3 linked regions of the Saccharomyces cerevisiae S288C genome follow. The gene in region 3 interacts genetically with the main gene of each other region. Each region holds a gene or a part of one and is shown on either strand. Other genes may lie near its edges.

Region 1 (3,311 bases), on a different chromosome or scaffold from region 3:
ACGTGGCGTTTTCCAAAAAGCAGTAGATGCACGTGAACAAAGAATATCCGATAAACTAAAGGAAGACTTACTAAAGCAAAAATTAGAAGATCTAAAAAAGAAAGAAGAGCAAGGAATTGACATGGATGTCGACGAGAAAAAATCCAATGAAGAAGCTCCCAGAAAAAAAATCAGCACCTCTGGTTGGAGAGACGGTAGACATCACACTTATAAAAAGGCTAAGCTGATGAAACAATCTAAGAAAAAAACTTCTTTCACCAGATTCTGATAAAATGAAGGTAATAAGAACTTGATAGGAGCTAGGTTGTAAAATTTTTAATTATGTACCATACTAAAATTCCGACGTTATTTTTATTCTTCACCGTGCTTTATCTCTTCCTAGACAATTTAAGAGTTGAAAGGACAACAGAGGGTGATGATATGAAAACCGGTTCACTTTTATATATTTGTCTTTTATGTGAGTAAGTGTGTTCTATATATGGATGAAATATATAATGCATTTTTTTTTTTGGGTAATAAAATTAGGTTGTTCTTTTACGTTCCTTAAGCTTCATTCTCCTCTCTCTTCTTAACCTACTCTGCATCATGTAGTAGGTGCCTCGTCTAATTATTGTTTCCAGTATGGACTGGTTGTATTCGGGGTACTTTACCTTTACTCGTTCGTGCAGTTGATTGATTAACTTTGTCCTATATTCTTTTGTAGTATCCCTAATCCACGTTTTGTAACCTAGCGGGTAATTTAATTCATTCTGGAAAATACCCAATATAAAGCGTTCTCTTTTTAAAGCTTCTTCGGGGGATTCTAAATTAAGCACTTTGGCTAAACCTTCGGCGGATAATCTCGAGTCGGAAATTTTCTTAGACTCTGAGGAAGAGGGTGAAGAATGTGTGTAGGAATCATGACAGGGCTTCCTCTTCCTGCTGGAAGAGACCGTTGACTCCGAAGACGAAGATGAGGATGAAAAAGACGAAGGGGCAGGATCCTGCTCGATGGCGTTTATCGTGAAATCGGGATAGTTTAATTGATTATTTAGATTTTCTAGCGTCAGTTCTTGCGTTAGGGGCATAGTATCCTTTTCAAACGAATTAGGATCGGCAAATATGTCACTGCTTTCGCTGGTATTAGAAATTATTGCTTCCCCATGTTTCAAAGAGGACGACGATGGTGGTGGCGGAGAAGGCGAATTCGATAGGGATAACGAAAACTTTGCAGGTGGCAGACTCGAAACTAATGACGAAGGCGTTGATATATCCTTTCTGTAAATGTCTTTACAATTTACGGCAAATTGCGGTTCGTTGAGAGTAGAAGGGTAATCGAGTAAAAAGGCCATCTGACTGATGTCATTACCGAGTAGATTATTATTATTATGATTATTATTATTATTTTTATTATTATTACTATTATTATTACTATTACTATTATTAATGCTATTGTTTTTAGCAGTTGTAGTAGCCAGCTTATCGTTATAAGACAGTAAAAAGTTGGAGTACGTTAAATTTTCGTCACCATAAGCATTAACGTTGATGTCATTGTTATTAATGGGGAGAAAGGGCGAATTAACATCACAATTTAAAGGTGCGAATGATTCCAAGTTGTAATTTATATTTTCATTTTCGTAAAAAGAGTCGAATTCGGGGATATTGGCGCACATTAGCTTTATTTTGGTTTTATAATCTCTATATATTACGACTAAGCTTTTGCCTAATACAAGATTAACACGCAAGTATAAAAGGAGATAACAGTGCAAATTCAAAAAAAAGAGTACAGATTAGAACTGGAAACCAACAGTCGCATATATATAATTTGCTTAATTCCTTTTAAACAATTGAACTTTTTCTCGAAAACACAACAAAGAGAGAAAAAAAAAAAAAAAAAAAAAAAAGAGAAAAACATGATAAAAATTGCATATATGTGGGTAGAAACCTTAAAAGTTATAATAAAGGGAATCCCACGCAGGAGCGGCATGGGAAGATAATATAATGAAACGAGCAAAAAATGGAGTCAACGTATGGCGTATTAAGATTGTGTTTATTTTTATGCAGGAAGGGGAATCGCACAGATAGTCAATAACCAACTGGCCGACTAACTGCATAAGAAATCGTTGTTTTTTTTTTCGAAGGCTCATTCAGATAAAGAAATCACTACGCGTTTTGTCTGTGAAGTCACAGATTTGAAAAATGAGAACGAAAAACATAACCACCTATGAGATTGAGTCCCTACATTTTACCATTTACGCTACTAAGTTACCCAATATCGTAACACGAAATAACAAGTTAAGGGGAGGAATGAAAAGGTTATCAAAGCGGCAGGAGACAGGAGGAATAACGCAGGACGAGACCCAAAGATAATATTTCTATAACGAAGTCGTTCGAACCCATCAGATTTCTGCTTTGATTACATACACAAGCTTTGTTTCTTTCTACAGGTGATTGTATGTGGGCTTATGGTATGCCTGCAGGACGCGTATGCATGTACGACGGCACGACCCGGAGCAAAACGGCGAGTGCTCTAACGCGGTGTATGGGCTAGATTCGTAATAGGGCTCTGGGTTTGCTGCAAGGGGTAATTATCAGCGATGGAATGACTCCGTTACCGCCCGACGCTATGTACGCCTTTTCCGCGTGCGCCGGTCTTTACCGGCAGGGGAGAATGTGGTGACGGCGGAGCCGGCGTATGGTGCCTCTACAAAAAATACGAAGTCTCATTTTAGTCACACTGATTTTCATAAGAAATGAGGAAAAAGAAAAGAGATGAAAATTGAGAAAAAAAAAAAAGCATTGTCGGGTAACAAATTATGTAGTGAAGATCAAAGGATATACACACAAACGAAGATGCGCATTAGCCACGTCCATCCCTTTCCCTTTTTCCCTTTCTACTCCGTTTTTACAATAATGTACGTTATAAAACAAGCGGCTGAAGAACAAGTTGGGAATAAATGTCAGCAAGGAAGATTGGTGTAAAGTGAAATCAGATAAGCAACTTAATACACAACCTCAAAAAGAAAAAATTACCATGTCATTCATACCTATTGTATGTGGTATGAAGAGTTTCGACTCTTCATACGATACCGTTCCCGGACATCAAAACCTGTATTGCCCGAATTGTCACAATTATAGTGTCGGCCCCATAAAAAGAAAGGAATTTTTCACTATTTGGTTTATACCGTTGGTTCCGGTCTTCTGGGGAAAACAGTTGCACTGCCCCATATGCAATTGGCGACAAGATTTTAAGAATGACGAACAGCTTAATAAAGTCATTCAAGAACAACAAAACTTACGACAAAAGCAGCCCAACTGATAACGAAATAATT
Region 2 (3,484 bases), on a different chromosome or scaffold from region 3:
TCAGAACCAATTCGCAACTAAGTAAGGACATTCTCATGGGTGAACCAGGTGATATGGTTGATCTGTCCTCTTTTGTCAACGCGCAGAGAAAAGCCTCAAATGAAACTGGTGACTTAGTCTTTAGTTTATCCCAGGATGATGACGCACTGAAAACGTTCCATGCGAGCAACAGCGCAGCAACAAGCAATGAAAGCTGGTGTATTAGCGATGATGCGTTAGGAAAGCAGGCGCAGGACAGTGAAGTTAGGAGGAAAAGAAAATCCAAATTAGGACTCTTTAGACATATTTTTTCAAGGAAGTAATACAACAATATTAATAATAAGTAATAAAAAGGTGAATCGTAACCTTAACGGCATTGATTGCATGTAGTTTTAATAATAAAGTGTAGAATAATAAATATAAAATTTCAAAGTCATCAGAAATAAAAATTGAATAGACATATACATATAGAAATTACTTCTATCATTTAAATACATATATATACATACATGTATACGTGTATACTTGTACTTGTGAAGGACTCAATAGTTGTATTCGTTTGGTTTTTGACCAGAAGTGTTTGGGAAACCACATTCCAATAAGATATCGTTAATCAATTCAGGTTTTTCAGTAATCTTGGAGAAAACTTCATCATTTTTGGTTAAGATCATACCACAATAACCTGTGGAGTTGAAACCTATCTTCATTTCATCAGAAAAGGCCTTCGAGCGTGGAACGACACAGATCCATTCCTTGGTTAACATAAGATTGTAGGATTTCTTTAGTTCTGGATTTTCGTTCAACCAGTCCTGGAAAAAGGTCAAAGCTCTTTGCAATATGGAGATGTAACACATAGCTAATAGGTCTTCATCAACAGTTTCTTCAGACTCCGGCATTGGCAAGACAAAATGAGCGAACGAGACTTTAGCATCTTGCAAAGGTTCAGTATTGAAAGTTGGTAGGAAATGTTCTTTACCATTACATAGTCTATCTTGGAAAGTGACGAACTTTTCAGGCATTTGCAGAATTTGCAAATGTTTGTGGTCCAATGAAGAACCACTGGCTGGACCAGAATTGTAAAAGACCATGTGTCTCTTGTCGGATTCTTCATTGTCCAAGGCACACAGCAACTTATAAGCAGTCAATAAATCGGTTGGGGTCAAGGCATCAGTTTGATGTTGGTATTCGTTAGTTACCAATAAAGTGTGTTCAGGGATTACAGGGAATTTGTTTAATAGCAATTTATACGCTTTGTTATCGGCACCACCAAATTCTGGGATAACCGTTAATTCTTCCTCAGGTTTGCCTAGTGGATCCTCTCCTTCTGGAGTTTGGCCACGCTCTGGCTTTTCGATCAGACTTGGCATGTGACTAATCAAGTATGGCATGCTGGTTTTTGGGTCCTTTGTTTTCGTTGTTTCAGTCTGGATAAATTTTAAGTTACCATTATCGAAGGCACTTTTGTACTTGTCACTAATTAAAGATGCAATGTCAGCGGGGATACTCATTTTTATTTTAATTTTTACTTTTCTGTTTGTTCTAAAATCTATCTAAACTGGCTTTCAAGATCAATCTATTGTCTTTTAAGGTAAACTTTAAATTGGAAATAATAGTAATGTTAGTTCCTTCATTTTAACCTTGTATTGTATTTCCTTTGCGTGATGAAAAAAAAACTGAAAAAGAGAAAAATAAGAAAATCTTCTAGAACGTTCCGAAACAGGACACTTAGCACACAAATACAGAATAGGAAAGTAAAAGGCAATATATGAATGCAGTGCTTGTAACTGGTGCTTGTATCCAAGAATAGCTTCTTGCTGTAGGTTATGGGAATATCGTGTAAGCTGGGGTGACTTTTGAGCTATTCGCGACGCCCGACGCCGTAATAACTACTTTCGACAGACCACTTATGACAGTATTTCAGGCCGCTCTTATAAAATGACATGTTAACAAACAGTTCTGATTATTCGCCTTTTGACAGGACGATAATGTAAATAGTTGTGGTAGTATCATTCAGGTATGTAACTGTTTACTTTGTATCGCTTGAAAAAAATAAGCATTTCAGAGCCTTCTTTGGAGCTCAAGTGGATTGAGGCCACAGCAAGACCGGCCAGTTTGAATGCTCAACTCTTCAAAAGAAATTCCTCAAATATGTCCAGTTTCATGTACTGTCCGGTGTGATTTATTATTTTTTATTTACTTTGTAGTTCTTAAAGCTAAGATTTTTTTCTTTGATAAATTCTTGTTTTCATATCCTAAAATTAAAGGGAAAATAAACAATACATAACAAAACATATAAAAACCAACACAATAAAAAAAAGGATCAAATACTCATTAAAGTAACTTACACGGGGGCTAAAAACGGAGTTTGATGAATATTCACAAGATAAAAATCATATGTATGTTTCTGATATATCGATATACAATCAAACACTTTCAAGAATTTGTTTGTAGACTTTTTGCTAGAGACCTCATCAAAGTGCTACCAACTAAGATCAACTTATACTTCTTTTAGAGAAAATTTTTTTCAATGTACTCCAAAGAGATTTAGATCCTGTCTCTTCCTCTTCCTCTTCCTCGAAAGTCAAAGAAAAATCAGAGTCTCCCTGCTTATTCAGGCGGAGAGGCTCTAGGGTAGTTGCGTTTCTCTCATTGGGACACTGAACCTCATTTTCCAACATTTTGGTCATGTAAGAGGCGACAGGCTCATCGCAGGTGGGTGCATCAACATGGTAGTACCTGGACCAAGCGCTACATTGAGTCCCTCCTGGATAAACACCGCTACAATATTGTCTTTGGACGTTTGCCCAAACCATATCTTTTGAATACCAAAGCTGGACCACATTGTATGGCCTAATCATTGGTGCTACCATAATACTGGATTGGGAAACAGTCTGGTTAATTTTTTTCAACCAATTTTTCTTATCTAGCAATGATTTAATAAACCTGAAATCTAAATTGTCTTCGTTAGCGTCTGTGTCATAATCTACAATTGAGTACTGTGACGTCCAATTATATGGCACCGAGATGGGGAATCTGTCCGGTGTTTCGTCGCTGTTATCCTTCTCCTCCCTCCAAATGCAGTCAGAGGCAGGTGCCCATTCGGTTCGCCAGTCTCCGTTATTTACTACTTGGTACTGTTCCCAATCGTAATACGTTTCCTCTGGGTTGAAGATACTTGCTCTGCTCTTGACATTGCCCATAGCCACACCACGAGAAACATCGTGGAAGATTACGGAGCTGTTTACGATAGCAGGAGCAATGGATTTGACGAATGACACTTGATAAAAGTCTTTGGTCGAAAATACAGTATCAACGCCGTCGTGGGACTCGACCCCTGGTAGAAGAAGCAGAGCATCTAGATCAACGGTAGATGCTGCAGAGGTCAAAGCCACAAAGAGGGAAGATGCAGTTACGAGGTATTTACTAAACATTGGTTCGAAGTGATTACAGATTTTTCTCTCTTGAACCCTGGAATTGCAATAGCTTGGTTCCTATTGGGACCGGA
Region 3 (2,819 bases):
GCCATCACCGCTGGTACTGGTTTGATGGGTGCTGCCCTTGCTGCCGTCATGTTATTGTAAATGATATGTGAATAATCATGCGGGATATCCGATTTTTATGAAGCACCTTGCGGCTTGGCCTTTTTTCGAAGTTATGTTAGAATAAAAAAATTTTAATAACACACATTAAGTATGTATGTATATATACTGTTTCAAGTTCGTTGGTCTTCCTTTAATTGTTTGAAACGGTTAAAAGTATCTAATTAAAATAAATATACCCGAAATCATACTAAAAAAATAGTTAATATTAATAAAAGTAATGATAATAATAATAATAACAATAATAATAATACGATGATGATGATGAAACGAAAAACTGCTACATTGAAGTCACTGAGAAACGTAATGAAAAAAAGTCCTTTTTACTAGCCTTTTGAAGGAGAAAGACAATTATATTAGCTTTTCATAGATAAGTTATAAATATGCTATACACGATAACTAATAGCTTTTTTCTGGTTTGAAACCGAGCTTATAATAGGTAAGAAATCAAACCAAGGGCCAATGCACCGACACTTGCTCCTTGGAATGCAGCAGGAGCAGCACCAGAAGAAGAGGCAGAAGAGGAGGAGGAGGATGAGGAGGATGAGGAGGATGTAGATGATTCGACGGCTTGAGTGACGGTCTTGGTGTAAAGGTTGGTTGATGAACCTGAACCGTTTGTCAAAGTAAGTGTCTTTGTTGTACTCTTTTCAGAGGTGGTATCTGGTCCTTCGGTGACAACCTTTGTGTAAGTAGCATCACTATTACTGACAACGACAGTTCTAGTGGTACTGTAACTAATGATAGGGTCAGCGGTGTCGGTAACGACCTTAGTGTAAACGTTATTACCGTTAGTAGCAGTAATAGTCTTAGTGGTCATTACACTCGACACAGCTGCTGCCGAGACGGCAGTCATAACTGTAGTAGCTCCGAAAATAGTTGAGAATTTCATTATTATTGTTTTGTGATGGCTTTATGATAGACTTTTTTACAAGGACCGTAAAATTCTGCCTGAAGCACGCACACATTCCTGTTTTATACATATATTGCTAGGTAATATAAAATGCTAATTATACTGCACCCAGTTAGATTCGTATACATCTTATCCGAACTCGATTACAAATTATACAAGTGATCCAATTGGGTGAACCTCGAAACAGTTCTCTGTTCAAGGGTCCGCTGCGGGGCGAGGGGGGGTGCATTTGAACTTAGGGTGCATTGTTTTAAATCCTATACAGGATATGAACTTAGTTAGTTCAATGATCGCTTGATAAATTGCACCCTGCTCTTGAGGGTCATTCTAAGTAATGAAATTTTGGGTGTTTTTGTTTGCCGTCCTCGTTCAATTCGCTTCCGCCGTTCTGGAAGCCCCGTTAACTTCCGTTCCCGCATTCCGATCGCTGTAGGGCTTGGCGTCAGTAGCACCCAGATATTTCACTGTAGGAGCTTACTTCACTCATTTCAATTGGTATACAGAAATCTATGAAATGTAGTTAAAGGCATCACTAATCCGCATCCGCGATACCCGCAACATATACGGAATGTCTATGTAAAAATGTCTCCTGTGACTTTCATTAATCGAATCTTTCTATAAAAAAAAAAATGAGCAAATCACAGTACACCCACTACTCGCATCATCAACGTTGAGTCAGTAGCAAAGTCTCCAGTTATGGTGCCCTCTGGTCCAATTGTAGTAAATTCGTTTGCACGGATGAAAAATAGCTCATGAATGTTCTTGTGTATTTGAATACCATTATGTGCGCGGCTCATACGGATTTAAGTGTGATCTTCCCCTCCGTATTCCCTGTCAATAACTCAAAGTTTTCCCATTTCGGTTTGAAGTTCTTCACAAGGGAGTTTCTTGGCGCAAAGGCATGATGATCGCATTTGCCTCAGTATATTTCGTCATTTCGGTACTGAGAAACGAAATTATTTTGCCTGTTGTCTTGCGTTTTGGCAACCCTTAAGAATTCATCTAATATGTTGGTCCTTAAAGATAAGCGCTTTTGCTTGTAAAATTCTGATTTTTTGTCTTGTGATGGTAATGCTACATTGAACATCAATGCGTATCTGATTTTAAAAAAAAAATTAGAAGTGTGTATAAAATGAAGGTATTATCAGTTGAGCAAATATTACATGTGCTCTTCAAAAGTACCTGCTTTTCATTTAGTGACTATCAGGATGATAACGCCGCTCGTCTTATTTTTAACTGTCGTTTTCTGATAAATGTGTTGAAAACGTGCTAAACAACAATTACCTGTTCTCAAGAGCCTTGAGCCTGGATTGAGAGCAAAAAATCTCTCTTTCATTTTATACAGAATTCGGAAAGAAGATGGATATTTCATGAAAATCTGTTGGTAAAAAGTGGATAAAAATTTTGTATTATTAGTATGTTCTTAGTGGTTAGGTGATAACGAAGCGAGAAAAGCAGGGCAAATGGAATAGAATAGCGTGTAGTTGTTAAAATTTTATTTCACTGAGGCTTATATGCTTACTGAGAAATTTTTTTTTTTTACAAAAAACTTCTTTTTATGTTATACCAGCTGTGGATTACCACAACAATTGGAAAGAACATCAATCCAGAAAAAAAATTCAGTTAATTTGGAGGAAGAGAAATTTAAGTCATGGAACAAGAGTGGGAGACAGTTAAAAAATGCTTCCAAAGATTAGTAGATTGAAAAAGTTTGTGAAAGTCGATCAATTGTCTTCATTGCAGCTAGACATAAATTATGTTTCAGGTCAAAACAATTAAATATATACTTGTGATAGGTAAAATAGTGAGGAAATAAATAAGGTAATTG

The links. Genes that interact genetically often act in the same process or in processes that back each other up.
Region 1: mutations in FIT2 (region 3) and YBL029W together harm fitness more than expected from each alone (negative genetic interaction), as found in Saccharomyces cerevisiae (one large-scale study listed by BioGRID).
Region 2: mutations in FIT2 (region 3) and APA1 together harm fitness more than expected from each alone (negative genetic interaction), as found in Saccharomyces cerevisiae (one large-scale study listed by BioGRID).

The regions. Positions count from the first base shown.
Region 1 is NC_001134.8:164,475-167,785, reverse strand, and holds YBL029W (uncharacterized protein), read right to left. Parts: upstream 1,653-3,311; coding exon 522-1,652; downstream 1-521. Other genes in the region: YBL028C (uncharacterized protein), read left to right, coding at 1-268; YBL029C-A (uncharacterized protein), read left to right, coding at 3,014-3,298.
Region 2 is NC_001135.5:37,315-40,798, forward strand, and holds APA1 (bifunctional AP-4-A phosphorylase/ADP sulfurylase), read right to left. Parts: upstream 1,488-3,484; coding exon 522-1,487; downstream 1-521. Other genes in the region: LRE1 (Lre1p), read left to right, coding at 1-302; YCL049C (uncharacterized protein), read right to left, coding at 2,472-3,410. UniProt on the Saccharomyces cerevisiae protein: Ap4A phosphorylase catalyzes the phosphorolytic degradation of bis(5'-adenosyl) tetraphosphate (Ap4A) into ADP and ATP. Can also use other Np4N' nucleotides (where N and N' stand for A,C,G or U) as substrates with equal efficiency.
Region 3 is NC_001147.6:1,057,682-1,060,500, reverse strand, and holds FIT2 (Fit2p), read right to left. Parts: upstream 971-2,819; coding exon 509-970; downstream 1-508. Other genes in the region: FIT3 (Fit3p), read left to right, coding at 1-60; YOR381W-A (uncharacterized protein), read right to left, coding at 1,911-2,078. UniProt on the Saccharomyces cerevisiae protein: Involved in the uptake of non-siderophore and siderophore sources of iron. Has a role in the retention of iron in the cell wall and periplasmic space.